Diceros bicornis minor: one gene and its partner. The protein of the gene in region 1 purifies or fractionates together with the protein of each later gene. This does not show direct contact. Links are inferred from orthologs where the notes say so. Each region holds a gene or a part of one and is shown on either strand. Other genes may lie near its edges. The genes, in order: NUDCD3 and KLHL9.

Region 1 (9,988 bases):
GCAGGAAGACAGAACAAAAGAAGGATACTAACATACTGAACTATGGCAAATGTTTTTACAAACATTCTCTCAAAACCCTCACAAAAGTGCTGTGAGGAAGACAGCACTGACGTTGCAAAGATGAGGAACAGTAACGCTCAGAGAGGGTAAGTAACCTGCCCAACGTCCCACCAGCAAAAGAAGGAAGTAAAATATACATATAGGAAGCAGTGAACACTGAAAGGAGATGTAGGCAGAGGAAAATGAATAAAATCGTACGGCTAAAAACTAGAAACAATAAAAGACCCAATTCTACTTCTTCAGAGAACCTGAGCCCCTGACTCATTTCTCTCACATCCATGTTTATGACAGCAGACCCTTTGCCCTCAGAGCCACTCATCCTCCTTAAGCCCCAGATCTTCATCTTAACTCCACAAAAAAAGCAACAGCGAAGCTCTCTCCTAACCCCTGGGACTTCCCTGGAACCCCAGGCCTGATACTCCTCATCGCACCCAATGCCTCTGCTCACTCAGCACTCCTACCTCCTCTAACTGGCCACCTGTTTCACCTCTCTACTCGCTACTGACCTCGGCACTCATTCTAGAATCACAGAATTGTGGAGCTGCATGAGGCACCTGTGACCTCCAATCAACCTTCTCAACTGACAGATGAGAGTGACTCTCCCGAGATTTCCCAACAAATTCAGTGAGGAACAGACAGAGCCGGATTTCCTGATTCTCCTGGGGGAGCTTCTACTTAGCAGGCCTGTCAAACTGGACTCCAGGATAAACACAGAGTATCAACCGACATGAATGAAATGGCATTCTAAACTTTTTTTTTTTTTTAAACATACTAATACATGATGGAGGGGAATGGGATTTTCACGTGCATCTTTCCTGCTGAGGGTCCTTCAGGCTGTGCATCCAGGCTGTGCAAGCCCTTACAAGTAGGAGGAAAAGTCTGAGAAGCCTTACGCTAACCACACCAACAGTCCACACCCCAAAATATCAGGGGAGAACTTCTGAGTTCCAGAACAAAGCACCCCAATACTCCCATCCAAACCCTCTTTGCCTGTGTTCTGAAGAGATCCCCAAGCGCCCCACCTCAGGTGGGGTGGACATATTCCTTCAAGTCAGCAGAGAAGAAACCCCCGGGGAAGCAGAGGAGTAGGAGTGGGGATCAGGTCATCACCCAACACCACTGAGAGGTAACACTGTGCTGCACCACAGCGCAGTCACTCAATCTGACTCAGTATCCTAATGTCCCACCCCACAACAACTCTTGCCCAATCCTGAACTCGCTTTACAAGCCTCCTGCCAAATGCCTCTGTGCATACAAGAATAGCTCCCAGGATTCATCTTGATCTACCCAACCAAAACACCCAGAGAATGTCTGCTTTTTTAAAGTTCCTTGGGCAATGCTGACAGTTGGGAATCACTTTCAACAAACAAGACACCCTTCTTAACCATCTGCTGGAAACTGTCCCCTTGTTTTCTGTGAAACTTACTGTCCTGCCCACTTCCCTCTGTCCCCCACCAATCACACCACCTCTTCTTCTCTCGTCCCTTCACTGGGATTGTTCCCCAAAGAACTGCCCTCCACCTTCGGCTCTTCTCTCTCCCTCAAACTGCTCCCGTTCCTCCATCTCCAAGGTCAGTGCCACGATTCCAACAGCCTGTGGGCAGGAACTTCTGTCTGCCAGCTCAAATTCAAGTTGTCTGAAACTAAGCTTTTTCCCCTAAACTTAGGTGGCAGTTCAGTTAATGCATTATCATTATTCCAGTCCCCTAAGTTTGAAACCTTGGATCATCTTCCACTCATTCTTCCCTCCCTCTGCCCTGCTCCCCACCTCCACTTCATTACACTGGTCACCAAGTCCTAACCTGTAAGAGTGCCTGGAACATATACTCTTTTTATGTTTTATACACTGTTACCAGAAAAACAAATTACCTCCGCCAGGTCATCTGTAAAACAACGGCAAAGACCAACTTTCAGGTTGTGTTAGGATTAAATAACATCCTAGCATGTACAATCACCTCACACAATAACTAGGAGATGCCAGGTGCTCAACAAATGTTCCTTTCTCCTCCACATCTTTTCTGTAAACTACAATCACCCTAGACAAAAGTGTTCCCATCCTCCTATGGCATGATTAAAAAACAAAAGACAAAGATCTAGAATCAGAAAAATGAAGTTTTGAGTTCCAGCTCTATGATAAATTTGGTCAAATAACCTAACCTTGCTGAATTAGCATCCTCATTTGCCACATAAAATTCAACCTTACCAATTTCACAGGGACTTCCATGAAAGCATCCAACTGCCACAGGGCCTGATAAAAACCATTACTCAGATGGCACTCAGCCACTGAAAGGATGAGGACTAGCCTGCAGTTCTAAAATTGAATACCAACCCAGCCCTCATTTGACCATATTATCTTTAGTAGTTACACATTCTAAGCTTTTGTTTCTTCATGCAGGCACTGAGAAAAACAACACCTGACCAACCTGCAGCTTGTGGCAAGACTTCAGGAGGTAACATTTGAAAGTACTTTATAAACCGCAAAGTGCTAGAGAACTGTGGAAGGTATCACCAGCATTTCTATCGTCTCAGGTTCCTACAAACAGACTCAATGCTTGGCTGAGTACCTGCTTTCAATTCCATCAAAGTCCCACCTCCCCTACAAAATCTTTCTTGATTTCCAGAACCATCCCTGCTGTTCCTCTCCTCTGCTCACTTCCCTCTGGGCTCTGTCACATAACTGGCCTTGCATAGTTCTCTGTTACTGTGTTTTATCTTCCTAACGATAATGGAAGTGTCACAAGGAGAGAGACCATCACTTACACCATCCACATCACCACTGTATCTCCAATGCCTGTGGCAGTTGAGAGAATAAACACATTCAGAAAATACTTATTACATTCCAAGGTACCCAGTCAACGTCAGTGACTGAGTATTAACAGTATCTCAAACACACAGTAAACGCAACCTGGGATGTATAAACATGTGCTCAAATGTATAAATTCCCTGAGTACTATGACTGTCTTTGACCTGGAAAGTCACATTTCGAACAAGGGGACCACACCCACCGATCACCACAATCTCCTTTCCACCTCCAGTCTCTGAAGTCCCGGGGCGTGCAGGAAATCCGTGCTGCCGCTGCCTCCCCGTCCCGCCTGCACGGTTTTCATTCCCTGACTGGCAGCCTCCGGCACCTCAGAAGGTTAAGCGCTGCGGGAGCTGAACCGGGCCCAAGTGCACCCTGCGTCAGACCGGGCTGCACAAGAGCCAGTCCAGCTCCCACAGAGGGCTAACTTGATACCCCACCAGCATCTCGGCTTACCCTCAGCCGCGGCCCCAGGGGGCGGGTCCGGGGAAGGGCCAGAGGGGGCCACTAAGGCTGGGAGCGGAGAGAGGCGCGGAGGGGCCCGGGGGTCCGGCGCTCCCGCGAGCAGACTCGCGGGGCTCGGGGTCTCGAGGGTACAGGGGCTTCCGGGGCGGGCTCGCGCGAGTCCGGGCACTCGCTGCCCCCCATCCCGGGCCGCCCGCCCCCGCGAGTTACCTGCAGCACCAGCGCCTGCGCGGCCCCCGGCGGGAAGCCCATACGGTCTGACGGGTGGCGCAGCAGGCGGTAGAAGTCGGTCTTGCGGTAAAGGAAGCCGAAGAGGACGCGCAGGAAGTCCTGGACGTTGCCCACGTGCTGCAGGATGCCCAGCAGGGCCTGGTCGTACAGCTCCGCCGCCCCGGGCTCCATGGCGTCGCCGGCCGGAGGGAAGCTTGCTCACTGCGGGCGCCGCCCGGACACCGGCCCCCGGCCACTTCCGGTGCGCTGCGGTAACGGCTCCGCCGCCGGCGCGCCCGCGAGACTTCTGGTCCGCGCTGGTTCAGCACCCGCGGACGGGCTGGGCTGGGCCGGGCTGCACTAGGGCGGCCTTGCCGCGGGCCCCGCCCTCGCCGCCCTGCCCTCGCCGCCCTGCCGGCTTCCCCCGGCGGCCTCACTAAGGAGCGACGTGGGCGCCGAAGTGCGCCTAGGCGCAAGAGGGCATGGGGCTGCGGGACTGACGGCGCCTAGCAGCCATGTTGGAAACGGGCGGAAGAGTATGGCGCGGGCAGAGTCATGTGAGGCCTCCAGCATTGTCACGTGGTGTATGGGTAGGGTTCTCGCTTGGGTGTCCCGACTCCCAGGGTACAGGCGGGACGGCGAGCGCCGTCTGCTGGTGGGTCAGGTGGGGAACATGCGTGCGTGCGAGTGGTGTGGGTCCTGTTGATAATGAAAGGAGAAATGCAAGGTGACGTGCATAAATAAAAGAAGAAAAGAATATAAAGCGAGTGCATGCACGAATCTTAAGTGGGGAGAGCTAGGTGCAGAATAGAGAATCGGGTGTGCCGTCATTGTGAAATATATATGTGTGTGTGTAGTATATACATGTGTGTGCATGGTATACATACACACTGCATATATACATGTCCTAAGTATCTGACCAAGTTTAATCTTCTTTCAAAAAGTTAAAAACATAGCACTCATACAAATATAAAATGATCACGTCAAAGATTGTATTCAACAATTTAATTAACAAAGTAACCAGTGATGTGATAAAGCTGGTTCAAAGAGCATTTGGAGGAACTGGATATTTATAGCATTTTGAGAAAACAGAGTACGATTGTTAGGTTGAACACAAAGCTAGCTGGTGTCCTACAAAATAATAAAACCATAGGTTATCTTTTCTGATGGATGGAAATGATTTGCATCTCTACTGGAATAAAATCTAGGAGTTAACATATGTCTTCATAGTATATGGGCTCTGATGAACTGTAAATAAACTCAAACTCAGCTAGATTGCCCTAGAGCATTGGTTCTGAAACTTTTTGGACTTAGGACCCATTTGCGCTCTTAAAATTTATTGAAGACTCCAAAGAACTTTTATTTATGTGGGTTATGGTTATCGATAGTTACCATATTAGAAATTAAAATTGAGAAAATTTTAAAATATTTATTTACTCACTTTTAAATAACCGTAAAAACCACATTACATGTTAACATTTTTATGAAGAAATAATGTTCTTTAAAGCAATAAAAGTTTAGTGAGAAGAGTAGCATAGTTTTACATTTTTGCAAATCTCTTCCTTGTCTGACAATCGAAGGCAGCAAGATTCTCCCATCTGCTGCATTCACTGCATCAAAATATGTTGTTTTGATTGAGGTATGTGAAGAAACCCAGTCTCACACAGACAGCAGCTGGAAAAGAGAGGAGCGTTTTAGCTGTCTTTTCAAATAAATGCATTATTCTTTGAAAGTACACCAAAATTCACCACAGGTGGTAGTTTCTTAAAGGTTAGTTGCAATATGGAATCTGAAACTTTATCAATAAACATTTCCTACTTTGTCATGTTAATATTCATTGGTCTATCTCGCACTTTGAATGGATCCTGCACATGCATTATTTTTGTAACACTATGCATTCATCATTTGAAAACATTTGTCCACTGAGTATGCAGTTCTTCCAAATGTTCACTCATTTCATTATACAATACCAAAAAAAAAAAAAAAAACCCACATACAGTAATATCATTACTGGATTCCTCAGAGAAGTTTTTAATTATTGGGAATCTCATGGAGCCAGGATGCAGATTTTCAAAAACTCTAATTTTTACTTGAAAACTTGAACTTTATTATTGGCAATAAATAACTATCAATTGCTTTTCTTGAAGTGACAGGCTCACTTCCTTCTGTTAGTCATTCTTTCATTAAAAATGGTGTTCCGTGGGTTCCCTGTGTCTCTCGCCCTTCGAACTACAACTAAAAGGACATTCATTGATCAGCGGAGGATACCCACACAGCACACCAGGATGCCTGAGAGACATGAGCAGCTGCATATCTGAGGGTGGGTGGACTACCTCTCCCCCCAGGAGGTGGTGGAGATAGACCAGAAGGAAAAAGACAAACACCTAGAAACTAGTCCTGAGGGCATGGAAATCTATGATATAAATGACAAAGAATTCAAGACAGCTGTCATAAGAAAACTCAATGAGCTACAAGAGAATTCTGAAAGACAGTTCAATGAAATCAGGAACCAAATTACTGAATAGAGGGAATTCTTCACAAAAGAGATCGAAAATATAAAGCAAAATCAAACAGAATTGTTAGAGATGAAAAACACAATAGATGAGATAAAGAAAAATCTGGAGTCCTTAAACAACAGGGCTGATAATATGGAGGATAGAATTAGCAATCTGGGGGCTGGCCCGGTGGCGCAAGAGGTTGGGTGCACGCGCTCTGCTGCGGCGGCCCAGGGTTTGCTGGTTCAGATCCTGGGCGCACACCGATGCACCACTTGTTAAGCCATACTGTAGCAGCATCCCATATAAAGGAGAGGAAGATGGGCATGGATGTTAGCCCAGCGCCAGTCTTCCTCAGTAAAAAAAGAGGAAGATTGGCATTGGATGTTAGCTCAGGGCTGGTCCTCCTCACAACAACAACAAAAAAAAGAATTAGCAATCTGGAGGATAGGAACACAGAAATGCTTCAGAGGGAAAGAGAACTTAGACTACAAAGAAATGAAGAAATTCTCCAAGAAATATCTGACTCAGTTAGGAAATGCAACGTCAGGATTATAGGTATTCCAGAGGGAGAATAGAGGGAAAAAGGAGCAGAGAGCTTGTTCAAAGAAATAATAACTGAGAACTTCCCAAACCTGAAGACAGAACTGGAATTACATGTAAAAGAAGCCAACAGGACTTCTAATTACATCAATGTAAAAAGACCTTCTCCGAGGCATATATTAGTAAAGCTGGCAAAAGTCAATGATAAAGAAAAAATATTAAGGGCAGCAAGGCAGAAGAGAATAACCTGTAAAGGAAGCCCTATCAGGCTTACAGCAGATTTTTCAGCAGAAACCTTACAGGCTAGGAGAGAGTGGAATGATATATTCAAAATTTTGAAAGACAAAAACTTTCAGCCAAGAATACTATATCCAGTGAAAATATCCTTCACATATGATGGAGAAATAAAAACTTTCCCAGATAAACAAAAGCTGAGGGAGTTCATTGCCACAAGACACCCCCTACAAGATTTGATCAAGAAAGACTTCATACCTGAAAAAAAAAGAAAGAAAGGGTTTACAAAGCCTTGAGGAAGCAGATAAATAGGCAGATAAAATCAGAAATTGCAACTCTCCGTCAGAACAGATTAGCAAACACTTAATTATAACTCTAAAGATAAAGGAAAATAAAACATCAAAAATAAATATTATCACTTCATTTTAACCACAAATTCACAATGCATAGTGGAATAAGTTGTGACAACAACAACTTAGAAGGGGAAGAGGAAAGTGATGAAACCTGCTTAGACTAAGGGAACAAGAGGCTATCAGGGAATGGACTATCTCATCTATGAGATCTTTTGTACAAACGGCACAGTAACCACTAAACAAAAAACCAGAACAAATACACAAGTGATAAATAAAGAGAGAACTGAGAAAACCATCATAGAGAGCCACCAAACTGAATTAACAATCCAAAATACGTGGGACGAGAAACAAGGGAAATACGTAATAACTGAAAAACAAGAGACAAAATGGCAGCATTAAGCCCTCATGTATAAATAATCACTCTAAATGTAAACGGATTGAATTGCCCAATCAAAAGGCACACAGTGGCTGGATGGATTAAAAAACAAGACCCAAAAATTTGCTGCCTCCAGGAAACACATCTCAGCTCTAAAGACAAACACAGGCTCAGGGTGAAGGGGTAGAAGACAATACTCCAAGGTAATGGCAAACAAAAGAAAGCAGGTGTTGCCATACTTCTATCAGACAAAGTAGACTTCAAGATTTAAAAAGGTAATGAGAGACAAAGAGGGGCAATATGTAATGATAAAAGGGACACTCCACAAAGAAGACATAAGACTTATATGCACCCAACACAGGAGCACCAAAGTACATAAAGCAACTATTATAACAAACCTAAAAGGAGATATCAACAACAAAACAATAATAGTTGGGGACCTTAACAGTCCACTTACATCAATGGATAGATCATCCAGACAGAAAGTCAATAAGGAAATAGTGGACTTAAATGAAAAACTAGACCAGGTGGACTTAATAGGTATATATAGAGCACTCCATCCAAAAAAACAGATTACACATTCTTGTCAAGCATGCATGGAACATTCTCAAGGATAGACCATATGTTGGGAAACAAGGCAAACCTCTATAAATTTAAGAAGACTGAAATCATAACAAGCATGTTTTCTGACCATAATGCTATGAAACTAGAAATCAACTTCAAGAAAAAAGCTGGGAAAGTGACAAAGATGTGGAGACTAAACAACATGCTACTGAACAACCAATGGATCATTGAAGAAATTAAAGGAGAAATCAAAGAATACCTGGCGACAAATGAAAATGAAAATACACCATACCAACTCATATGGGATGCAGCAAAAGCAGTCCTGAGAGTGAAATTCATAGCAATACAGGCCCACCTTAACAAACAAGAAAAAGCCCAAATAAGCAATCTTAAATTACACCTAACAGAATTAGAAAAAGAAGAACAAACAAAGCCCACAGTCAGCAGAAGGAGGAAAATAATAAAAATTAGAACAGAAATAAACAAAATCAAAACCAAAAAAACAGTAGAAAGGATCAATAAAACAAAAAGCTGGTTCTTTGAGAAGATAAACAAAATTGACAAACCCTTAGCCAGACTCACCAAAGAAAAAACAGAGAAGGCTCAAATAAATGAAATTAGAAATGAAAGAGGAGAAATCACAATGGATATCACAGAAATACGAAGGATTATAAGAGAATACTTTGAAAAACTATATTCCAACAAACTGGACAATCTAGAAGAAATGGATAAATTCTTAGACTCATACAACCTCTCAAACTGAATCAAGAAGAAATAGAGAACATGAATAGACCAATCACAAGTAAAGAGATTGAAACAATAATCAAAAACCTCCCAAAAAATAAAAGTCCAGGACCAGATGGCTTCTCTGGAGAATTTTACCAAACATTCGAAGAAAGTTTAATACCTATCCTTCACAAACTATTCCAAAAAACAGAGGAAGATGGAACACTTCTTACCACATTCTCTGAGACCAACATCACCCTGATACCAAAGCCAGACAAGGAAAATACAAAGAAGGAAAATTACAGGCCCATATCACTGATGAACATAGATGCAAAAATCCTCAACAAAATATTGGCAAACCGAATGCAGCAATACATTAGAAAGATCATACACCACGATCAAGTAGGATTTATACCAGAGACACAAGGATGGCTCAACATCCGCAAATCATTCAACGTGATACATCACATTAACAAAACGAGGAATAAAAACCACATGATCATCTCAATAGATGCAGAGAAAGCTCTTGACAAGATCCAACATCCATTTATGATAAAAACTCTCAACAAAATGGGTATAGAATGAAAGTACCTCAACATGATAAAGGCCATATATGACAAACCCACAGCCAACATCATACTCAATGGGGAAAAGCTGAAAGCCATCCCTCTGAGAACAGGAACAAGACAAGGGTGCCCACTCTCACCACTCATATTCAACATAGTGTTGGAAGTTCTGGCCAGAGCAATTAGGCAAGAAAAAGGAATAAACGGAATCCAAATAGGCAATGAAGAAACGAAACTCTCACTATTTGCAGACGACATGATTTTATATATAGAAAACCCTAAAGAATCCATCAGAAAACTATTAGAAATAATCAACAACTACAGCAAAGTTGCAAGGTACAAAATAAACTTAGAAAAATCAGTTGCATCTCTATACTCTAATGACGAACTAACAGAAAGAGAACTCAAGAATACAATCCCATTTACAATCACAACAAAAAGAATAAAATATCTAGGAATAAATTTAACCAAGGAGGTGAAAGACCTATACAGTGAAAACTATAAGAAAGAAATCGATGATGACATAAAGAAATGGAAAGATATCCCATGTACATGGATTGGAAGAATAAACATAGTTAAAATATCTATACTAC
Region 2 (9,373 bases), on another chromosome or scaffold:
GATTTGATGCAGACAAGAGCATATCACCTGCTTGCTCAGATCATAGGCTCGAGGCAGGTCACATAAAGCTCAGGACCCACATGGGGTGGTGCAGCACCACGGCAACCCCACCAGATCAAATAATCACGTTAGGATGACTAAGTTGGGAGACTGAACTTACAATCCTATAGCTTTGTTCAGCACATTTCTTTCTTTGCTTTTTTCATATCATAAGTTTTACCAAAGAAAAAGGTGGAAAATAGCAGAGCCTAAATTTACTGAGCAAAACAATTCTCGGAAACCTAAACTTTGCTAAATAACCTGTATAAAAGCAACTCTACAGAAAATAATATACAAGCAGAAAAAGTAGTAGACATTTCATCTGAAGTAACAATTTAGTCAAATGACAAATTTGGTTGTGAATTTAATATGCTGTAGCCCTTATCTATCTCAATTCAATTATGACTATATAGACATTTATTCTCTGGTACTGAATTCCCATTTAAATAGAAATAGCTGCTATATGAAAGAAAATAATTTAAATTTAAAACCAATTCTACTATAGCTGAAGAGCCAATCAACTTAATAATTATACATGTATATGTGTATGTACATATATACATATGTATGTATGTATATGTGTGTTTGTTTATATTTTCTCTCTCCCTGTCCCTCTCTCCAAAGAGATACTAAACCCTGACTTAGGGCTATGCTGTTTTTTCTAGTTAATATTTCTGAATTTATTGTTTCTCCTGTCTGTCTAAGAAACTTCACATTATCTGAATGCACTCACACAATCTGGTGAGTTGGGAGCTATGGCAAAAACTCTATGAAAAAAGGGAGGTAGCTAATAACGCTTGGTGATCTTTTGTTTATTCTTTTAGGTTAGAGCACACAGCCTCCCTTTGATGTTTTGCGGTCAAAGATGAAAACTTTCAACTTTGAAGCATAATGAACATAATTATACATTTACTACAATCATCTACAATTTGACTTACACAACACCACAAAAAGACATCTAACTTGAACATTTTTCTACATATCTTTTTACATTTGTTAAAACAGTTGGCTATGTTGAATACATTTTCAGAACACATTTGTTAACCATTGATAAACACATTAAGCCAAACAACACAAATAACATCAGTTACCTTTTTATCTAATAACTACCAATCACTGTTAAGAAGATACAGCTGAAGGGGAAAGAGATCATCCATGATGCACTGCAAAGGTATTACACCTTATTCCTAAGAATGATCTGAAGGTGCTGAAAGAGGTGATTCTCTAGAAGGTGACCCAGGGTTTTCTTCAGGTGGAAAAACTGTGAGAGTACAAGCTCGAATGCCACCAAGTGACTCTGGAAGGTCAAAAACTTTATGCCACTCATCCTTTTCTGGGTCATATTTCTGGACAATTTCTACCATACAACGATTATTCCAAGAATATCCACCTATAACATAGATTTTATTTTCAAAGACAGCAACTCCAACATCACTTTGACCTCTTAACATAGCAGCAATTGGTGTCCACTGGTCAAGGGTTGGTGAATAGTATTCACAGCTTAGAACATCATCATAATCACTTGTTCCTCTGAAGTGATTGCCACCAATGACATAGAGCTTGTCTCCAACTGTACACATGCAATGCAGGCCTCTGACTGTAGTCATTGGAGCTTTCTGTGTCCATTTGTCTGTATCTGGGTCAAAACACATGAGCTCATTTTGGAAAGTGTCATGAGTAATTCCTCCTGAAATATACATTAAGCCTCCATACACTGTTCCAGCATGGCCATAGTGGGGTTCACTCATTTTTGCAACATAACTCCACTCATTCATTCTTGGGTTGTAACATTCTACTGTAGCCAGTTCACCAGCTGCACTTCGCCCACCAACAGCATACAAATGTCCTTTGAGGGCACTCAAGTGGAAGAATGTGCGCTTTTCATTTAATGATGCAACCTGCATCCATTTATTATACCGAGGATCAAATCTGAAAACCGTGTCAACAGCAGTTTTTCCTTTTGTATCATAATTACTTTGACCACCAACTACATAAAGAAAGTTTCCAATGACAGCAATGCCATGCTGATAACGAGGAGCATCCATGGGGGCTAAAGATCTCCACTCTTGTGCCCTTTCATCATACATCCGTAATTCTTTACTGACAACCAGCTGCTGTCTCAAAACTCCTCCTAATGTAACCAAGTGTGTCGAGTCAGATCGAATAGCAGTTCTATCTGACTGCATCACTGGTTGCATATATGGCATCATTTGGTAATTGCTAGCTTCCAAAAGCAAATTCACACAGGTATTATCTGTTCTCATGAAATCTACTGTCTGCACATAATTGATGAGGTCCTGTGGTGTCATCAGTGGAAATCGAATATTCTTCATTAATTTTGCAGCATAATCCATCCGAGGGTCTTCCAACCTTAGCCAGCGACAGGCAGCCTTGAAGAGCTCAAGTTCAGTACAGTGCTTAAGACTATTACTGGAAAGCACAAAGGCAAGCCGTTCAAAAGGGAGTTTTAGAAACTCCCCAGTACTCAATAATGCAGGAAAATTCTTCAGGATGAAATTATTGACATATTTATCCACTTCTATAAGATTATAGGTGTTAGCAATTCGCCCAACTTCAACACAGTTATCTAGAGAGACTCCTGAAATAAGAAACACTTTACAGAAGTCCAAAACAGGTAAAATTTGTAAAAAGCTGGCAGCTTCAAGTGTGTCCTGAAGATTGTCCATATTAAGAGAAAGTTTTGCAGTATAAATAAAATCAATTATTTTCTTCAGACCAACCTTGTTCACCCCATGAAGCTTAATGCACATTAAATCTTGTTCTTTCATTCCCCCTGTGAACATAGCCTTGAAATAATCACTAGCAGATGCCATCATAGCTCTGTGAACAGGGAAGATTTCATCTCCATCACCTGGTACCAGGGTCACATCACAAAGCAATCCTTCTATTCTGAGCTGATCAAAGCCTTGCAATACCACGGAACTGTGAGTATTGCTGGTAAAGAAACGCGTGGTTCCTGCTTTGCAAGGCTGTAAATGGGCAGAAACGCCCATCTCGCCGCTACCAAGAGACACTTTCATGTGAAAGCCTTCCTCTTGCACAAAGACGTATGCCGGAGACAGAGGTCACAACCTGAATGCTTTAGGAAACGAGGATGTCCAAAGAGCAGGAGAGCTCGCTTTCCTTAGCAAGGGCAAGCAATCACTGCGGCACCCCTCGGAACACACCAATCAGTCATCCACTGAAAACCGCTCTGGCGCAGGACCACAAAGCGCTGTGGACCTCAAATCTCACTATTATGCAGATGATTCATCACCTGAAGCCAGTTAAGTGACCCGGTTCAGCTGGTCAGGCCTGCGCCGCCGCTCCTCCAGCAGTTCCTCTCCGAGCCGAGGGGAGCGCCGCCACGTACTGTGGCTCCGCGGCTCGCTCGGCGGCGAGGCCGGGCACCTCAGCGAGCGGCCCGCTGCGCCCTCCGCTGTCACGAGAGCGTCGCCGCGGCTACGGGTCTGTCTTGGAGCAAGGGCCTGGAACACGGGCCTGGGCCTGGATCTGGGCCTGGAACACGGGCCTAGACCCAGACGCCGAGCCGGTCCTTCCGGAAAGGCCGAGTCCCAGGATCCCCCGGGCTAGGAGCGGCCGCGGCAGCTACTGCGCCTGCGCGGCCGCCCGACCTGTCAGTGGGCGGGCGTGTGGGGGCTGGGGAGGAAGGGCGCAGGGCTCTGGAAGGGTGAGGATGGGGGTGGGCGCGAGCGGAGCCTCAGCGGGTCGCTTTGTCTGTGGGATTCAATAGGCCCGGAAGGGGTGCCCGTATATTATGCTGCACGTTTGCTGTCAACTCTTCACGGCATCTGAGCTCTCCCCACAAATGCGTACTTTTTCTTTAAGATTTATGCGTACTGGCTTCTGTATTTTGAATAACAATAAAATGCGGCTTTTGTAGAAATTGAAAGGAAATATGGCAGATGACGGCATAAGGGGAAGTTGCATGAAAATTTTCCTCTATTAAAAACTTTATAATTCTTATCCCACACAAAGTAATAGACACCTCAATTGTAACTTTGGTTCATATTTTCAAATTTTTCATTATTTAAAATACATATCATTTGTCTCTCTTAAAATACCAAATTGTGACCATGCTATGTAGATAATATAGCCTGAATTTTTGCCTCTCAGTGGAATTCCAACATCGATAATTTTTTCATACTTTTGTTTTCCACTCACAAATTTTTAAATGAGTACACAATTGTCCAATAACTAAACATACTGTAGTTTTCTTTCCCCATTGTTTGTTCTTGAACAAACATTGTTCAACATACAAGAACATTGTATGTTCTTGAACATACCTTCTTGTCTCCCATTGTTTTATAGAATCTTAATAAACCTATAGAATCTGGGCACAAACCTTTCCCTTGTTTCTCTATAAATCCTAAGGGTAAAATAGTGATTCAAGACATAAAAATTTGTTTCCAAATATTGCCACCAGCAATGTTTGAGTGTGCATTTCCCCTCTACTGATCTTTCCCTTTGTGGATATTTTATTAACTTGTATTTCTTTAATTACCAGTAAATTTAAATTTTGGCACATGAATAAATGTATACTTTGACACAATTTTTTCCAACATTTTTCACAGTTTGAAGTTATTACTGTCTTTTAAATCCTTCCGGTTTCTTTACACATATGCAAACTAATAAGAATATAGCTATATTCTTTTATTACACTCTCTCTATTTTTATATAAAAGATGGCATGCCCCACTCACTGTTCTGCACCTATCTTTTTTCACTTGGAGATCTTCAATGCATAGAGAACTTCTTTATCTTTTTAAGCAGTTGTATTGTTTCCCATTGAATGGGTGTGTCATAAATTATTTAACCAGGCCCCTACTGATGGACAGTTAGCTGGTTCCAATTGTTTTCAGTTGTTTTTGGTGGATAGCAGCAAGGTCCAGAAGGCTCAGACCACTGCTGTCCTCCACCAGATGCTTCAGCAGATCTTCAACCTGTTCAGCATAAAAGGATGGTTGGAATGAGACTGGCCTGGAGAAGTTCTTCCCTGGACTTTATCAGCATTGGGAAGTCCTTGAGACCTGCTTGGTGCAGGAATTGAGGATGGAAGGACTCCATACTGGCCATGAAGAGGTATTTCCAAGGAATCAGTTTCTATATGGAAAAGAAAGAATAGAACTGCTGTACCTGGGAAGTTGTTAGAGCAGGAAATCATGAGATCCTTCTCTTTATTGTCAAGCTTGCAGGGAATGTTAAGAGCTAAGGAACCAGACCTATAATCTTAATGAAACAATTCTTATGGAGAGATACAATTCATCATACTCCCACATGTTTAGTCATTTCAAAAGACTGTTTTTTCTGCCTTCATCATGAAATAAATTGAACAAAGTTTGTCACAACATTTGTTGATAGTATTAAGCAACTATAAGTTAAAGCATCCAGTTCAAAGAGGGCACCAGCCCAACATAGGTGACCCTATTAATGTACTTATGTACTTAACTATTTTGCTATATTTATTGTATTTCAATATTTTTAATAAATCAATGCCAAGACTGATATTGCAACCTCAAGTGAAGTATGGAGGTACAGTTCATTCATTCATTGATTTCATTCAAGCTATATGTAACACTTGAGTATCTAAATTACAGGTTCTATGACTGCCTTCACAGGATAAAAAGGTGATGAAAGAAAAGTGCCAGCCTTCTTGAAACTTTCCTTTTTGCTGGAAGAAAACATAAAAATATTGATCAATTAATTAATTTCAACTACATTATATGCTAACACCATAGGCAAAAGAAAAGTAGCTCCTATCACCAGAAACTGGAGGATGCAGACTCTCAACTTTGACAGTTGGACATACAGTTCTAGAATTTACAGAGGGTCAAGGCTAGAAGTGTTAACTTGGGAGCTGGGGTCTACCTGGTCCCTGAAGGCCAGAGAATGAATGAGTTCTTTTAGAAAGAGAGTAGAGACTAGGAAGATGACCAGAAACTGAACCTTAGGGACCTTCACATTTGAATGCAGGGAAGAGAATGAGGAGCCTGAAAAGGGCGCTGGAATTTAATGGCAGCACAATAGGAGGACAAGCAGGAGAGAATGGTGATGAGAAGATATTTAAGGAAAGAAATGTGTTTAAAAGCCAATGTCTTGTATTCAGGGAAAATGAGGGCTGTTTTGGCAGAATTAATTCCATAGAATCCAGACTGGAGTATATTGACTAAGGTTAAATAAGAGGAAAGGTGTTGGAGACAGAGTGGATAGAAAGTTCTTTTGAGAAGTTTATCTGTAAAGAGAAGAGAAATAGGGTAGGACCTGAAGAAAAAATGTGTGTTAATATTATTGGACCTAATTTTTTTAACCTTTTACAAACATTTTTTTGGGGAGACAGATTTCAAGAAATGGATGTAGTGGCACAAAGCATATAAAATCGATATTTTATTTCTTTTAAATAACTGCTTATTTAATAGGCTAAAATGTCAAGCATCATTGTTCAACTGTTTTAAAATACTAGTGGGCTAGAGAGTTTTTTCTTTTGCTTTGTTTGCTATTTTTAGTTCTCTTTATTTGGGTTTTATTTTATATTAACTACTTTTGTATTGTCCTTATGAATGATGTTTTATATATCTTTAATTCTTAAAAGTAGACATAAACCTTTCTATGCAGATGGCAGCTGTATTCCTATGATGCAACTCTTTGTCAATTTTATGTTGACAAATAACAGCTCATTTTTAAGTATTTTCTCCTGTGCCAGAATGTTGAACATGTAGGACCAGTCCTCTCCCATTCTCATTCCTCTATCGATCTTATGAATGATCAGTTCCCTTTTATATTTTATATCTTTTACATTTATTTCTATATTCTATTAGGATTTTATCTTCATCTATGAGACAAGAATCTAAATTGATTTGTGTCTAGATTGCCAGGTATTTATCCTGTTACCATTTACTGAAACTACTTTTCTTCCTTATTAACATCTAAGATACCCTTAATTCCAAAATTACTTATTACTGATAATACCACAATTTCTGGGATTATTTTCTTTATTACTCTGGTCACCTAACTTTCCTTACTGTCACCATGTTTATATTGTTGCTGTTTTATAAATACAGTTGATTTGTGGTGAAGCTGGTATGTAAGCTGGTATGTAAAGATGGTAAGGCTAGGTATGTAAGAATTTTTCCTGCTCTATTCTTTGATATTATTGCTTGATGATCTTTCCTGATTAACGTTTGAATTGTTCTACAGAGGTCAGCGTTGGCTTTATAAAAATCATGAAATTTTGTGGACTCAGAAATGACCATACTGCAATGAATGTAAAATTTTGAGAAACTTCCTTCATCAAATGGAAAAATGAAATTGGATTGGAGAATTTCTCTTCCACAAAAATCTAAGGGAAAGAGCAAAAATATATTAAAATCATCAGAAAGTACAAATGTAGCCATCAAAAAGAGAAGTACAGTGAAAAAGAGAAATCATAATTCTGCAAGTAATAGATAAAAACAAAACAAAACAGAAACCCAACATGTAACTTAAAGAATCAACCATAACTCACTATGTGGGATTCTGCATGGAACCCACATTCTGCCCAGAGGCAACTCAACTTCCCTGAGTTTCATTTTTCTTAAATGGAATATGGAGTAAAAAATATTTGTAGAGCTGATGTAAGTACATTTTAAAGCATTTAGGATCGTTCCTTCCTCGGAGTTAACATTTAATAAGTGATAGCCATTGTCTTCATTTTCTCCATATAAACCTATATGAGAATATTACATGTCTTTTTCTATAAACTGGTTTGAAATTGTACCATCTCACTCTTGATAGCTGACTGACCAAAGTCAGCTGAATTCTGGCAAGAACCTTGAAGACTGAAAAACAGGTATGCATCATATCAAAGATATGTTTGACCTATATTCAGTCAGCACAGTGGCTTAAATCAATATCTGAAATTGGGAGGAAGCTCCTAGACAGGAATGGGAAAGACATTGTATTCTTTTGCCCATTTTGGCACCTGCACACTTCTACTGGCACCTCTCCCAGCTTTCCTGGATCTATTACTTCCATGTCACAACAGTTTCCTTCTTCTTCAGTGTAGAAGTTACCAGGAACCCTCCTCCTTCACTCCGTTTACTTGCACTGCCCTTTTAATACAACTGCTTCCTGTTCTGTTGTGGTTTCTGGCCTAAAGCTTTCCCAGATGGACATAAGTAGAGAATAATAGTTGAACGATATTTCCAGATTTTGTTGAAACATATGTAAGAGAAGTATCCCTCTTTTATGTTGAATACTTTTGAACAGTGAGGGCAGCCCATGTAGTTCAAAGGAAGCAGAAAGTAGGATCCAGTGACTGTGGGCTAATAAAGCTGTCACAGGAAAAGAGGCCCCTGCTGACCAAGTGTGACAGGGCCAGAGACCAAGTCTGGAGGGCAGGCTTCTGGTCTGCATAGATGTGCTCCTTTCTACCTCCAGAAATTCCTCTGGAATTTTACTCCAGAGCTGATAAGGGGCTCTTTCCTGGCAGGAATTGACCCTAATATTGGCATAAGTCTCTTGCCATCGTCTTCGTTACAAAGAGAACGAGTCTTCATTTTCAGGCAGGGCGTGGCGCCTTTAGGCCAGGGGCAGCTACGGTGAGAGAAAAAGAAGCCAAAATGCGTTTCCTTCCTCCAACCTGCAGAGCAGACTCAGGGCTCCCACTCCACAGACTGTCTGCCAGGTAGGTAGGCAGAGCCTGAAAATCTGAGGGTAAAAACTGCAAAGGTATTTTGAGTACAATCTCATATTTGATGGTACATTAAATTTCTGTTAATAGTAAATTCCCAGTTTCACAAATTCATTTTTTATAACAGATCTCTTGACTTTATAATTAGGGAAATATGCTTATCATAACTTTGCATAAGGATTGCAACATCCCTTTCTCCCTCTGACACAGTAGTCAAAGGGAACAGTCCTACTCCATGTCTGCCTGGAAATTTCCTAATCACCCCCTTGTGAAAAGCCCAGCTAATTATCACATCTTCACTGAACCCTGATTCCTAGGCAGAGTTCTTAACTCACAATGCTGAATGCCTAGAGCCTGCTCCACAGCTGCTTCTAGAGCACTAATTACCCTCTATTAGGATTAAGGGCATGGTCCTGTTCTGTCCTGTCCCTGGAAGATGAGAGTCCCGTGAAGGAGAGGACTTTACCTGATTCATTTCAGAATAATATCAATGAATGGTTCTGACGGCTGTTTCCTGGTGTTCACCGTGATAGCCCCTAATTAAAACACAGAGACCTCTGGTTGTCCTTGCATCAAGTCTGTTTTTGGGTAGATTCCCCAAATTAAAAGAAAAGTATGGTACTGTGAGTGAAACACAGAACCTTGT

What was found.
Region 2: the proteins of NUDCD3 (region 1) and KLHL9 purify together in Homo sapiens (co-immunoprecipitation; 3 studies listed by BioGRID and IntAct, with this or other methods). This does not show direct contact. The link is inferred for Diceros bicornis minor from reciprocal best matches to the Homo sapiens genes NUDCD3 and KLHL9.

Annotation. Positions count from the first base shown.
Region 1 is NC_080780.1:1,557,861-1,567,848, forward strand, and holds the start of NUDCD3 (nudC domain-containing protein 3), read right to left. Parts: upstream 3,865-9,988; 5' UTR 3,731-3,864; coding exon 3,539-3,730; intron 3,244-3,538; exon of another isoform or gene 1-3,243.
Region 2 is NC_080761.1:43,537,867-43,547,239, forward strand, and holds the start of KLHL9 (kelch-like protein 9), read right to left. Parts: upstream 3,606-9,373; 5' UTR 3,081-3,605; coding exon 1,227-3,080; 3' UTR 1-1,226.